2 linked regions of the Macaca mulatta genome follow. The main gene of each other region encodes a partner of the protein of the gene in region 2 in a complex. Links are inferred from orthologs where the notes say so. Each region holds a gene or a part of one and is shown on either strand. Other genes may lie near its edges.

Region 1 (5,713 bases), on a different chromosome or scaffold from region 2:
GCAGACGGGTCTGCAGTCACTGTCCCGCCCCACAGGTGGTGAGACTGAGGCCAAGGGGGCAGGCGCTGGCCCAGGGTCCCCATCATCAGTGGTCAGTGCTGAGGGTGTGGGCCCAGCCTTCTGGGGCAGGCACCACCAAGCATGGGTGTTAGTGGATGCCTGCAGGCATAGAACTCCTGGGCCCCCCGGGGAAGGTGTGGCCTGAGGATCCAGGCGCCCTTCTCCTGGGAGCCCCCACTCCCCACCCACCTGCCGCCCACACCTCGTAATCAGGAGACACGTTGAGAAACAGCTGGTTTCCCTGGATCCGAAATGCGAAGGGGGTGGACAAGGGTCCGAGGGTCACCTCCTGGCCCTCTGGGACATGGATGTCCACCAGCGGCTCGGTGACATTTGTGTTCTCCTCGACTTCAAAGAAGGACTTGTTCACAGAGCAGTCTGTAAGGTTGCAGAGGAGGGGTCAGCGCCTCCCAGCCCCTGGCTCCCCCTGCCCTGTGCCCCCACCTACCTACCCCTGCCCGCACGTACACTGGACCTGGGCCACGGTCCCCGGGGGTCGGCCAAGCAGCCCCGTGAGCAGCAGGGGAGGCCACAGCAGGGCCCAAGACCCCATCTTGGCGGCTGTCACCTGGCGGGAGGGTCCGAGTGGGTTTGGCGTCCAGGACTGGCGCAGTTCCTACCTCAGCGACCTTCGCCCCAGCCAGACGCCGCCCACTTTATGATCCTTTACAACCGGCCTCTGCCAAGGGGGCTCCCGCTGGCCGGCGGGTCCGGCCCACTGCCAGAAGGGGGGCAGTCATTTGGCCCAAGTTAGACTGAGTACAGGGATTAACCAGGGGGCTCAGGCCACAGGCACCGAGGCACAGGGCAGAAAGGACTAGAGAATGGCTCACGGGCGCCATGGGGCTGGGGCAGGGCAGGGGCAGAGCTAGGGTGTTGGAGAGAAGCCGTTGGTGTTGGGGTGTCTGAAACCTGCCTCCCTAGCCCAGGCTGCCCTTGCTTGGCTCCTCCCCTAAGCTCTACCTCAGGCAAAATTCCTAAGGCCAACCCTTGAGGCTCAGAACCTGGGTGTTCGCCCGGGAGTACCTCCCTGCCTGCCTGATGGCAGGTTCTGCAGGAAGAGACTCTCCTCACTGTGTCCTAGGGACACCCCTGCCTGCCTGCCCCAGAGACAAGCCAGCTTCTCAGGGTGGGGCTGGACAGGGCCTTAGTGACCAAGGCTAAGGCGGGGCTGTGGGGGGCAGCTGGGAGCTCCTGGGGAGCCCTGGTGCCCAACAGAGGGGGTGAGGTGAGTCTTGACACTTGCCCTGCTCTTTTCATTGGCCCCCGCAAGCCCCCAGCTCTAGGGAGAGGCCACTGGCTGGGGTCAGGGCGAGGAAGGGGCTGTCGTGAGGCGGGGAGTGGAGTCATTCCTCTCCAGGCCTGTGCACCGAAGCTTCTGGCCTCTCGTGGCTGGGGCTGGGCTCAGTGTCCCAACCCTGCACTGTACCCTCATGGTCGCCTGCAAGCCCTGCACGCTCCATACGCCACAGGCTCTGAGGGGTCAAGCCACTGGTCTGAGGCCACACAAGACAGAGGGTCCGGAGTCCTCATGCCAGAGTGGACTCCTGGCACCCCAGGTGACACCTCTGCCCTCCCCTCTTCCTGCCCGCCTGAGCCTCCCTGGCCCCTCCACACCCTCCCCACTGCCCCTTCCGGAAACACTGACCACACGCCACCCCCCACCCCCCTGCAGGAGCTGAGAGTCTGTCCGGGCTTCCCCTGAGCCCTTGACTGTTTCCTAATGAAGACAAGGGGGGGGCGGGGCCCTGCGGTGCTTAGTCGATGTACAGGAGGCGGCACTGATGCCAGAGATAAGGATGAGGGGCCCGCTGTGGCCGCCAGGTGTAAAGGGCAGCTGGGTGTGGTCACAGTCCCGGCTGGGTGGATGGGGCCCCCTTCCATCTGACAGCCCTGCTACACAGGGGTTGCCTCGATTACACCAAGTGGACACAACCAACTCCCAGTGTCTGGATCTGATTCTCCTTTATTGGTGCCGAGTTCCACCCCTCCCCCTCTCCCCCCAGCCTGCCCACCACCCCATATGCAGCTCCGCTCGTAGGCTGGGCAGGTGGTGAGGGGGTTCCTTCCTCATCTCGGTCGCAGGGTTCCTTCTGCAGCAGCACCGGCAGGTTCTGAAACCATAACCCCAGGCCTGGGCCCAGGGGGCAGCCAGGGAGACCAGGCCCCGCCCAGGGGCATCCTGCAGAGACAGCACGTGCGGGGTTGGGGGCTGGGGCTGCGGCTGGAGACCCCGGCCCCGCCGCTGGAATTGGGCCTCCGGTGGCCACCAGCGCTGACCCAGGGAGGCCACGGACAGAAGGAAGGGTCTGGGGTGGGGTCTGGGGTGGGGTCTGCGGTGGGGCGGGCGCTCACCAGGCCTGCAGGGTGGGCGTGTCGGACCCGGACGGGCAGAGCAGACCCGCGCTGAGCCTGGACCAGGCCGTGCTGTTCTCTGCGTCCTGCTCGCTGTCCCCCGCCCCAAAACAGAGTTAGTCCTGGAGGTGGGGGGTCGCGCGTTGCTGCCAGGGCACCACGGCAAGACCCCCGCCCCACCCGGCCTCACCTGCGCTTCCCCACCAGGCCCTGTAGCAGCCGCTGGAGCCGCGCGCCCTCCCGCAGGCGGCTGAGCTCGCTGGTGAACGTCCCGTCCGAGTGTCGCCGGGCCCTGGGGGCGGGCGGGGGTCGGGGTCAGGGCCGCGCGGGGGGCGGGTGCGGCCGGGGGCGGACGGGCCTGGCGGGCGGCTCACCTGGGGGGCGCGGGGCGCGCGGCGGAGCCCCCGAGGAGCAGCAGCAGCAGCAGGAGGGGCCGGGGGGCCATGGCGGGGTCGGGCGCGGGAGCTGAGCGCTGCGGCCACGGCCAGAGCCCCGCGAGGCCCCTTTATGGCGGCGCCCGGAAGGGGGACGGCCCGGCCGCGCCCAGCGATCCCGGGAAGGTCAGGGCCGCCCCCCCAGCTGTCGCCCCGGCCCGGCCTCCCGCCCCCTCCGCCGCGCTGGCGCCCCTCGGCCGGCTGGGGGAGGGGGACGTCCCGGCCTGGGGGGCGAAGGGGACCCGGGCCCGGGACCCCCAGAGGGAACCGCACCGCGAAGCCTCGGAGCCTGCGGGGCGCGGGGACGGAGGGGCCGTGGGACTTGGGGGAGGATTTGGGGGGACTGGAGGACCCCGGGGAAGGGGCGGCGGCAGGAGCTCCGGAGGCCCCTGGAGCACCCGGCTGGGGCGAGTTCGTCGGGAAGGCCTGAGCGGCGTGACTTTGTTGTGGGGGCCGGTGTTGCCATTTTATCCGCTTTGAAGTGCAGGGTTCAGGATCATTGGGTTCGCTGACATTTCCGTGCATCCGTCCCCACCATCCGTTCTCAGACTCTCCCATCCTCCCAAAATCCGTTCTCAGGCTCTCTCGTCCTCCCAAAATCCCTTCTCAGACGCTCCTGTCCTCCCAAAATCCGTTCTCAGACTCCCCATCCTCCCAAAATCCGTTCTCAGACTCTCCCATCCTCCCAAAATCATTCTCAGACTCCCCATCCTCCCAAAATCCGTTCTCAGGCTCTCTCGTCCTCCCAAAATCCCTTCTCAGAGGCTCCTGTCCTCCCAAAATCCGTTCTCAGACTCTCCCATCCTCCCAAAATCATTCTCAGACTCCCCATCCTCCCAAAATCCGTTCTCAGACTCCCCATCCTCCCAAAATCCGTTCTCAGGCTCTCTCGTCCTCCCAAAATCCCTTCTGAGACGCTCCTGTCCTCCCAAAATCCGTTCTCAGACTCCCCATCCTCCCAAAATCCGTTCTCAGACTCTCCCATCCTCCCAAAATCATTCTCAGACTCCCCATCCTCCCAAAATCCGTTCTCAGACTCCTCATCCTCCCAAAATCCGTTCTCAGGCTCTTTCGTCCTCCCAAAATCCCTTCTCAGACGCTCCTGTCCTCCCAAAATCCGTTCTCAGACTCCCCATCCTCCCAAAATCCGTTCTCAGACTCTCCCATCCTCCCAAAATCATTCTCAGACTCCCCATCCTCCCAAAATCCATTCTCAGGCTCTTCCATCCTCCCAAAATCCGTTCTCAGGCTCCCTTGTCCTCCCAAAATCCTTTCTCAGACGCTCCTGTCCTCCCAAAATCCGTTCTCAGACTCTCCCGTCCTCCCAAAATGAAGCTCTGTCCCCATCAAACGCCCCCTCCCCTCCCCAGCCTGGCGCCGCGTCCACTTTCTGTCTGTGGATTCAGCGCCTGCAGGGACTGCGCGCAGGGGGAGCCTCACAGGATTTGTCCTTTGGAGACCGGCTGGTTTCTCAGCTCAGCGTCCTCCGCCTTCGCCGCCGCAGCCTGGCCTGTGTGGGAATCTCCTTCCCTTTAGGGGGAACCGTGTCCCGTTGTGTGCAGGGACCGCGTCGACCGCGTCCGTTCATCTGTGGGCCTCTTCATGGACACCTGGGCTGCCTCCCCTTTGGGGCGAGGGCGAATAACGCTGCTGTGAACGCGGGTGTGCAAAGGGCCCTTCCCAATCCCGTTTTCAAGCGTTCTGGGTGTATAGTTATGAGGGACTTGCTGAGTGACAGAGTAATGATGTGTTAATTGTTCTGAGGAAAACAGCCAAACTGTTTTCCACAGCAGCATCTCAGACGGACACGTCCCCCAGCAGCACAGCAGGGACACGGCTCTTGTCCTCGCCGACACTTGCTACTTTCTGGCTTTTTGTTTGTTGTGTACTAACGATGCTGGTGGGTGCAATGTGGTGTCTGGCTGCGGTTTTTATTTGTGTCTCCCTAATGACCAGCACCTTCTCGGGTGTCTGTGAGCCATTTATACCTCATGGAGAGGACGGAGAAATGACCGTCAAGCCCTTGATGTTCTGCTGTGGTTTCGAGCCATGCACTGTATCCATCTGTTAAATCGGCCACACTATTTACCCCAGCATTTGCATCACAGCCCCGCCAGCCACGTGGGTCCTTCCTTCCTTCCTTCCTTCCTTCCTTCCTTCTTTCCTTCTTTCCTTCCTTCCTCCCTCCCTCCCTCCCTCCCTTCCTTCCTTTTCTTTTTTAGATGGAGTTTTATTCTGTCACCCAGGCTGGAGTGCCGTGGGGCCATCTCCGCTCACTGCAACCTGCAACCTCTGCCTCCCGGTTTCAAGCAATTCTCGTGCCTCGGCCCTCCAAGTAGCTGGGATTACAGGCACCTGCCACCATGACTGGCTAATTTTTATATTTTTAGTAGAGACAAGGTTTCACCACGTTGCCCAGGCTGGTCTCAAACTCCTGACCTCAAGTGATCCACCTGCCTCAGCCTTCCAAAGCACTGGGAATTACAGGCGTGAGCCACTGCACCTGGTGGCCTCACTTTCTCTGCACACTGTCAACCTTGCAGCAGTTGCTATTTTTAACCTTCAGCCATTCTCTCTGCCACAACACCTCCTTGTGGTTTTAGTTGCATTTCCCCAGTGGTGGGTGATTCTGAACCTCTTTCCAGGTGCTTGTTTCCATTTGCACGTTGTCGTGGGTTAAATGTATCTTCACGTCTCTTGCCTGTTTTTAAATTGTTCTCTACTGCTGAGTTTTTTTTTTGTTTTTTGTTTTTTGTTTTTGTTTTTATTGCAGGAAAATACGCAAAACATGAAACTTACCATTTCAGCCATTGTAAACAGTCACGGAATTGTACAACCATCACCACTGTTTAGTTCCAGAACTT
Region 2 (6,995 bases):
AGCAAATGGCCTCACGTCTCTCCAAGCATCCGTTTCCTCATTTGCACCATGGGGCTATTAACTGTTGATGTGAGTGTTAGTGTTAGGAGGGACTCAGCAGACTCTCTGGTGGAAAGTAAGAGTCAATTAAAAGAGCCTTCATCATCATCATCATCATCCTTCACTTATTAACTTCAGGGATAATAAACATTTAAAAAGAAATCTGCAAATACTTCTTCAGAAAACTAGAAAGTGTTTTTCCAGGTACACAAAAAAAATCCCCATTGACCCTCCTCTGAAAAGTCATCAATAATCAGCTCCCAGGCTGGGCATGGTGGCTCATACCTATAATACCAACAGTTTGGGAGTCTAAGGCAGGAGGATCACTTGAGCCCGGGAGTTCAGGACCAACCTGGGAGACATGGTGAGACCCATCTCTCAAAAAAAAAAAAATAATTAGACGGGGATGGTGGCAGGTGTCTGTAGTTCCAGCTACTTGGGAGGCTGAGGTGGGAAGATCACTTGAGTCAGGAAGTTAAAGGCTGCAGTGAACCATAATTGCACCATTGCACTGCAGCCCGGGTAACAGGGCAATTACCAGCTCTGCAGGCAATGCTTGCAGGCCTTTCTAAGGTTCTGCTCACTGTGCAGCCACAGGGCTTGTCAGCCTCTGGGTCCAGATGCATGACAGGACAGGGCAGTGACCACCATGTACCGAAGGCTTCCATGTGCCAGGTCCCGTACTTGGAATTGTTATACTTCTTAGCCATCAACTGAGGAGGGATGGAGACAGGAGGGGGAAAGAAGGGAAGGGAGGGTGGAATAGATCAAGGAACCCATTCTCTGCAGAAGTCCTTTGTCCAGTTTGGAGACTGGTTTTCATCAGGCACACCTGTTTCCATTCTCTGACTCAGATGCCCTATCACCAACCCCACTGCCCCAAACCCAATGTGAAATGAATACCTATTGTTAGTCCTATCTGTATATCTGACCTGAAACATGACAACCTTTAAGGCAGTGGTTCTCAAGCAGGGGCAATTTTGCCCTCCCTATCCCCAGAAAAAATTTGGCAGTGTCTACAGATACATTTTCTGTTGTTACGGTTTTAGAGAGATCATGAGCTCCTACAGGGTAGCGGTCCATGATGCTGCTAGACATTGTACAATGCAAGGACAGTTCTCACAATAGAGAATTATCTGGCTCCAAATGTCAATAGTGTTAAGAAACTCCGCTTGAAGGAAAAACCAGCCCCACACACCTCACTTAACTCACTAAGGTTAACAAATGGGCAGTTTGCCAAATGCCATGGATTAAAAAGCGCTACCTTGAGTGACTCTTTTTCTACGGCCCGACACATTTCTGTACAATTTAGCAAGTAAAGAGTCCTTTCAAGAAATGATTCTTCGTTATTTGTTGCTGGATCATCATCATTTCATTCAGTCATCCACGCATTCATTCAACACACACTCACTGAGCTCCCTCTTACACTGGTGACAGACTCCAGGGATAGAAGATGAACAAGATGAGGCTCCATCCATGCTCAAGTTTAAAGTGTGTGTATTAGGGTTTGGGGGACAGATGTGTTAGTAAATAATTACAGTGATGTTCCAGGTAAAAAGTTCTCATGAGATGCATGGGGGTGGGGCCGCAGAGCGGGGGTGTGCTCAGTATTTCTTATGGGAGGCCTCAGAAAACTGCCCTATTTGGCCATCACCACTTTTTGGGTTCCACTTACAAGGGTCACTTCTGACGCCTCCCTATATGGAGTAGAGGGAGAGTGGTAATAAGCAATTTGCCCTCAGTGACCTCCCTCCATTAGGAAGATGCCTATAATTCCCCTCGAGGGGGAGCTTCTAATGAATAAAAAATTATTTGAACACACTTAGATTTCAGAATCAAATGTCTGACCACCCAGAGTCAAACAGAAGGAAAGCAGGGCTCCAGAGGCTGGGAAATATTCCAACCAAAGTAGGTCAGTTTCACTCCTATTTATTACAGGCGTTCTCAGCCAAGAAGTGTGAGATATAAGGTCTACAGAAGCCATAAAGTAATCCAAGGGCCACAACTTATACACAGAAAACCATCTTATGATTATGTAAGACAGTAATGTGCCATGGCTCATGCCTCTAATCCCAGCACTTTGGGAGGCAGAGGCAGGCGGATCACCTGAGGCCAGGAGTTTGAGACCAGTCTGACCAACATGGAGAAACCCCATCTCTACTAAAAATACAAAAAACTAGCTAGGCATGGTGGTGTATGCCTGTAATCCCAGCTACTCAGGAGACTGAGGCAGGAGACTCACTTGAACCTGGGATGCGGAGGTTGCAGTGAGCTGAGATCGCGCCATCGCAGTCCAGCCTGGGCAACAAGAATGAATTCCGTCTCAAAAAAAAAAAAAAAAAGAAAAGAAAAAAGAAAGAAAGAAAGAAAAAGAAAAAAAGGAAAAAGAAGGGGCATAACAGACAGAGCCCTGGATGGTTGGGAATCAAGAGACCTGGGTGCTAACCTTAGTGGGTTAAGTGGGGTGTGTGGGGCTAGTAGAGCTGCTAGTCCTGGCTCTGCTACTAACTTGCTGATGTCGGGCAGCTCCCTTCTCTCTGAGGGTCTCAGTGTGCTCATTTTTAAAATAAGGGATTGGGGCCAGAGCCTAATGAAGCATCCTTCCAAGGTACACTGAAGACTTAAACCAAGGGAAGCCTCTCATTTTCCCCTTCCACTTATTCCTGTGATAATCCAGGAATTTTCTTGAGACAAGAATGCAGACTGAACCTCAGTCCTGCACTTGAGGTACCAGTTATGACAGTCTCAGAGTCACTGCAAATACTTAAGAAGGAGGCTGGGAGGGTCCCAAGGAAGGAGCTATTGCCTCTCCTACCCCTAGCCACGGAATAACACACCTCCAGGCTCTACCTGGCTTGACACTGTCCCCAGTATCCCAGTTGGCATTTCTCCAAACTGGGAGTCGAAACTCATGAGTGCATGCTGTTGCTCTAGCATCTTCCAAGGCCAGCACTGCCACTGAAGAGAGGAGGCTCCACCGTGGAAAGGGAGTTCCAAGCAAGCTCCAAATTGCACTCATCCCAACTACTGCTGCTGAAAGTCTTGGGGCTACCAGAAAAATGAGCATCTCCTGAGTGTCAACATTGGGAGCATTGATTTTCCTTATAATCCAACCGGAGGGGACTACGGGAAGACAAGGAGGTTGGACACCAGGAGACTTGCCCAGGACAGAGATCAGAGACTCAACTGGGTCCCCAAGCACTTTCCCTAGGAGCTTCTTGGAACAGACACCTTGGGGACCAGTTTGGAATGCTAGTGGGAAGGGATGATTCTGGAATCTGGCCCCCACCTCTAACCCCCACTCCCTCCCCATTCCTTCCTTTCTGCTGGTCTGGGTGGGGCCACTCTCTTTATCACAGATCCCAGAGCTCCGAGAGGCCGGAGACTCCCAGGAATTTCTGTAGGAAAGAAAAACAAACCACCCATCCTGCCGCTATTATTATTAGTAGTAGTATTTTCCTCCTCCAGCCGCTTGCCAGGACCTGGCTTTGGGGAACAGCAGCACCCAGCAGCCACCAGACACGCAGACATTAGGGAGCCGCGTCCCACACGAGAGGGTGTGGGGAGAGTGGCAGACGGTCCCATCGCAGACCCGGAAGCTCTTGCCGGAGCTCCCTTCAGGTTTTCCCATCTGCAGCCCGTGAGTGTGAAAATGTCAAGGTTTGGGGGCAGACTGATACTGATGTGGGTTGCAATCCTCTTCTTCTGACTTGGAGCAAGAATTGTTATTCCCCCTCTCATTTCCTTTCCTTGTCTATAAAGTGAGGATGGTAATAGCAGCCTCGAAAGGTGATTGAGAGGTTTCAAGGAAAGATTGGAGGCAAAGCGCCCAGGACACAATAGGCACTGCCCGGGGCGGCTCCAGAATTTCCGTCTAGGAGTGTCTCAGAAGCCAGGCTAGAGGAAGGGGTGGGTGGGGGGCACGGGGATTCATCTTGGAGCTGCCTTCGCGTGGCGCGCACAAGGTTTTTCTTTGGGAAGGGGTCCCTGCGGAGAAGAGCTGGGAGAGATTAATGTTGGGAGGATTGACAGGGAAGAGTCCCCATTCCTCAGCGGAAGATCTGCTAGTCCCCTCCACCCGCATCCTGCCAAGGCCGGAGAAGCGGCGAGACTGTCGCTCCCTGGGTCCCCTAGCCTTCAGAAGGGGGCAGTACTCACCGAGTGCGCGGCGCAGACGAGCAGCACCCGCAGTAGTAGCTGCTGCAGCGGCGGCGACAGGTGGGGACGCATCGTGCCCGCACGTTCCCCGAGGGCGCCCCGACGTCCACCCGCCCGTGCCCTTTGCCCACTCGGGAGTTCAGCGCCCCGCGCACGATCCCGGGCTCCGGCCGGCCGCTGCGCCCAGAGGAGCCATGGCTGAGCCACCCGACCTGCGGCGGGCCCGGGGACTGCTCCTCCTCGGACCAGGTGGCCGCGCGCGCTCAGCAGCCCAGCCCATTGATTAGGACGCGGCGGCTCCGGCGCGCTTCCTCCACCCGGCGGGGGACTGGCTGGGGGCCGGCGCGGAGGCCAGCAGGGGAGGAGGCAGAGGGAGGGCGCGGGGGCCGGAGTAGGCTCCCGCAGTCTGGGCCCAAGCTGGAGGAGGCCAGGAGAGGGCACGCTGGCTTAGTCTACCACGCGGCAATCCCGCACTACCCCAGGTCCAGAAAGAGCACTGTTTCTGGAGTCCACGGACCGAAGGCGCAAGCTCGCTAGGGGGTCGGTGGGCAACTTAGGTCACCTTTGTAAGCCTCGGCTTTCTCAGCCCTAACAACACATCTGAGAATACCCACTCTCAGACTGAAAGTTGTGACACAGTCAAGGCCCATTGCATCTATTCTCCCCAGACAGCTACTTGCACTTTATTTCCGATTTTCTGTATTTTTTTCTTAATTATTGAAGTCATTAGCTCCCATTCCATGAAGTTTCACTCCGATGAGCTCCTCCTTTGATGATGACCAAGGAAGATCTGTGGTATACTCAGGCATCTGGGGACTGTCCTGAGGATGAACCGCCTGGGAAGCTATTTAAGCCTCAGGCAGATAGTCCCAGTAGCCCACTCCAAGGGTGCTCCCTATCCTGGAGTACAAGGCGCCCCAGATGGCCTTTTTTTTACTGTCACATAAAAAAGAGGGTTTCACCATGTTGCTCAGGCTGGTCTTGAACTCTTGGGCTCAAGAGATCCTCTTACCTCGGCCTCCCAAAGTGCTGGGATTATAGGCATGAGCCACTGAGTCCAGCCCTAGATGGGTCTTGTAAACTCAAGTTTTCTTTGTCTGCACTGGTGCCTACTCCCTTCCCTCTTCTCTCTCCCCCTTTCTTTATCTTTCTCCCAGGCACTTGAAGTACATCAGCTCATTTAATTCTCCCTCAAACCCCTAGGTGATATGATGCCCATTTGACAGAGGAGGGCATTGAAGGTGGAGGAGGTTTCATTACATGTCTGGGTACTGCAACTCAGAGGCTCAGACAGGAAAGCCTGGATCTACCCTTCCATGGCTGACCTGACTCTCTGTAACTGGCCTCTACTCAGACGGCCATGCAGCTAGTAAAGTAACAATGTGCTCTTGTCCTTAGCAGCCTTCCCTACCAGAAGAGACTGTTAATAAATCAAGGCTGGTAAATCCCAGAAGAAATAAAAGGGAGGAAAATCCATTCAGCTTCTAGGTCCAAAATCAATGCTCAGTACACATCAAACCTAAAGTATACATAATCACCAACTTCCTTCTAGAAACTCTTTCTACATAAATACTCACCCAAGGGCCTAATGAAATGTGCAAGGATGTTTGCGGAAGCACTGTGACAGTGGCAGGAAATGAGATGATATATGGGGAGAGGGAACCACCCTTATTTCTTTCTTTCTCATGGGCAGCAGTCATTACTATAATGCTCCTGACTTGTTTCTACCCCTTCACCCTCTCTCTGTCTGTATCCCTCTCTGTCACGCGCACCCAGACACATGCATGCATGTATACACAGGTGAGACCAGTTTACATGACTGATGCATTCAGAATAAGGAACTGGCATGAGTTCGGTCCCCTCCTCTCTCCTTCCTTTCACAGTGTGCCCCGCTACAGAGAACCTGTAACTGGATTTCCCTGGGCCAGGCTGTGATCGGTGGTCGAGGCTCTAGTGGAACAGGTCCAGTACCACCAGTGACAGGGTGGTGGTCTCTCTAATTCTGGGGTTTAGTTAGGAAACCGCTTGCCCACAAGTACAAACCACATTCCGCAATACTGACTTTATAAAGTGGTATTTGGCCCCATCTGTCTTGATCTTATTTCTCAATTGGTTCAAGATTCAGGCTGGAAAGAAAAATGTTATTTCCTAGGCTCCTTGAACCTCAGCATCCTAAATGTCCATCGCAAAGGGCGTGAGGTAAGGATTTGCAGTTTTTACTATACAGACTTCTGTGTTGTTTGAATATTTTCTGTAACAATGCTGTGTATGGCTGTTTGGGGTTGAAATAAATAAAAAGAAAACAACACAAAAATGCGATCCGTGCTTTATACCAGAGCCTCATGATATCTGATGAAAAAGCAAAACAACATTAGTTCTGGGCAATTCAATAAATTTCTGGCCTGTAGCAAGCCATTCTTGCTTAAACGGGAAGCTCTGCCTCTCGGAGAGTTGAGAAAAGGGATTGAAGTGCCCCTTGAAAGGTCCTTAAAACCTGCCTGAAACAACAGTTTCACAATAGGGGTAGAAGGGAAGAGGTAGGGAAACTAACCATATATTTACCACCTATCGTATGCTGGGGAGTCTGTTAGGAAGCTCGGGTGTGTTATCATATCCAGTCCTCCAAGACCATATAAGAGATGGGAACTTGAGGCTTAGGAAAGATAAATGCTTGCCTCTATCAGCACAGCTAATAAGGGGAGAAGCCAGGATTTGAATCCAGGACTGAGCCCAAGCCTGTGTCGTGAAGGAAACCAAATATTTTGCCCCAAAATATACTTATTTGACATACTTTGAGA

Evidence for each region.
Region 1: the proteins of SCTR (region 2) and SCT are in contact, whole or in part, in a cryo-EM structure (PDB 6WZG), measured with the Homo sapiens proteins. The link is inferred for Macaca mulatta from reciprocal best matches to the Homo sapiens genes SCTR and SCT. Residues at the interface, in NP_002971.2 of Homo sapiens: Arg30, Leu31, Cys32, Leu35, Asp71, Asn72, Pro117, Val125, Val127, Asn128, Asp129, Asn132, Arg135, His136, Leu139, Leu140, Leu142, Lys143, Tyr146, Tyr150, Arg188, Asn192, Lys195, Leu199, Phe200, Ser202, Asp203, Val205, Met219, Phe222; in NP_068739.1 of Homo sapiens: His28, Ser29, Asp30, Gly31, Thr32, Phe33, Thr34, Ser35, Glu36, Leu37, Ser38, Arg39, Leu40, Arg41, Glu42, Arg45, Leu46, Gln47, Arg48, Leu49, Leu50, Leu53, Val54.

What each region holds. Positions count from the first base shown.
Region 1 is NC_133419.1:519,364-525,076, forward strand, and holds SCT (secretin), read right to left. Parts: upstream 2,950-5,713; 5' UTR 2,861-2,949; coding exon 2,790-2,860; intron 2,708-2,789; coding exon 2,606-2,707; intron 2,509-2,605; coding exon 2,416-2,508; intron 2,243-2,415; coding exon 2,131-2,242; 3' UTR 2,009-2,130; downstream 1-2,008. Other genes in the region: CDHR5 (cadherin-related family member 5), read right to left, coding at 263-438, 529-613. UniProt on the Homo sapiens protein: Hormone involved in different processes, such as regulation of the pH of the duodenal content, food intake and water homeostasis.
Region 2 is NC_133417.1:17,984,338-17,991,332, reverse strand, and holds the start of SCTR (secretin receptor), read right to left. Parts: upstream 4,537-6,995; 5' UTR 4,270-4,536; coding exon 4,198-4,269; intron 1-4,197.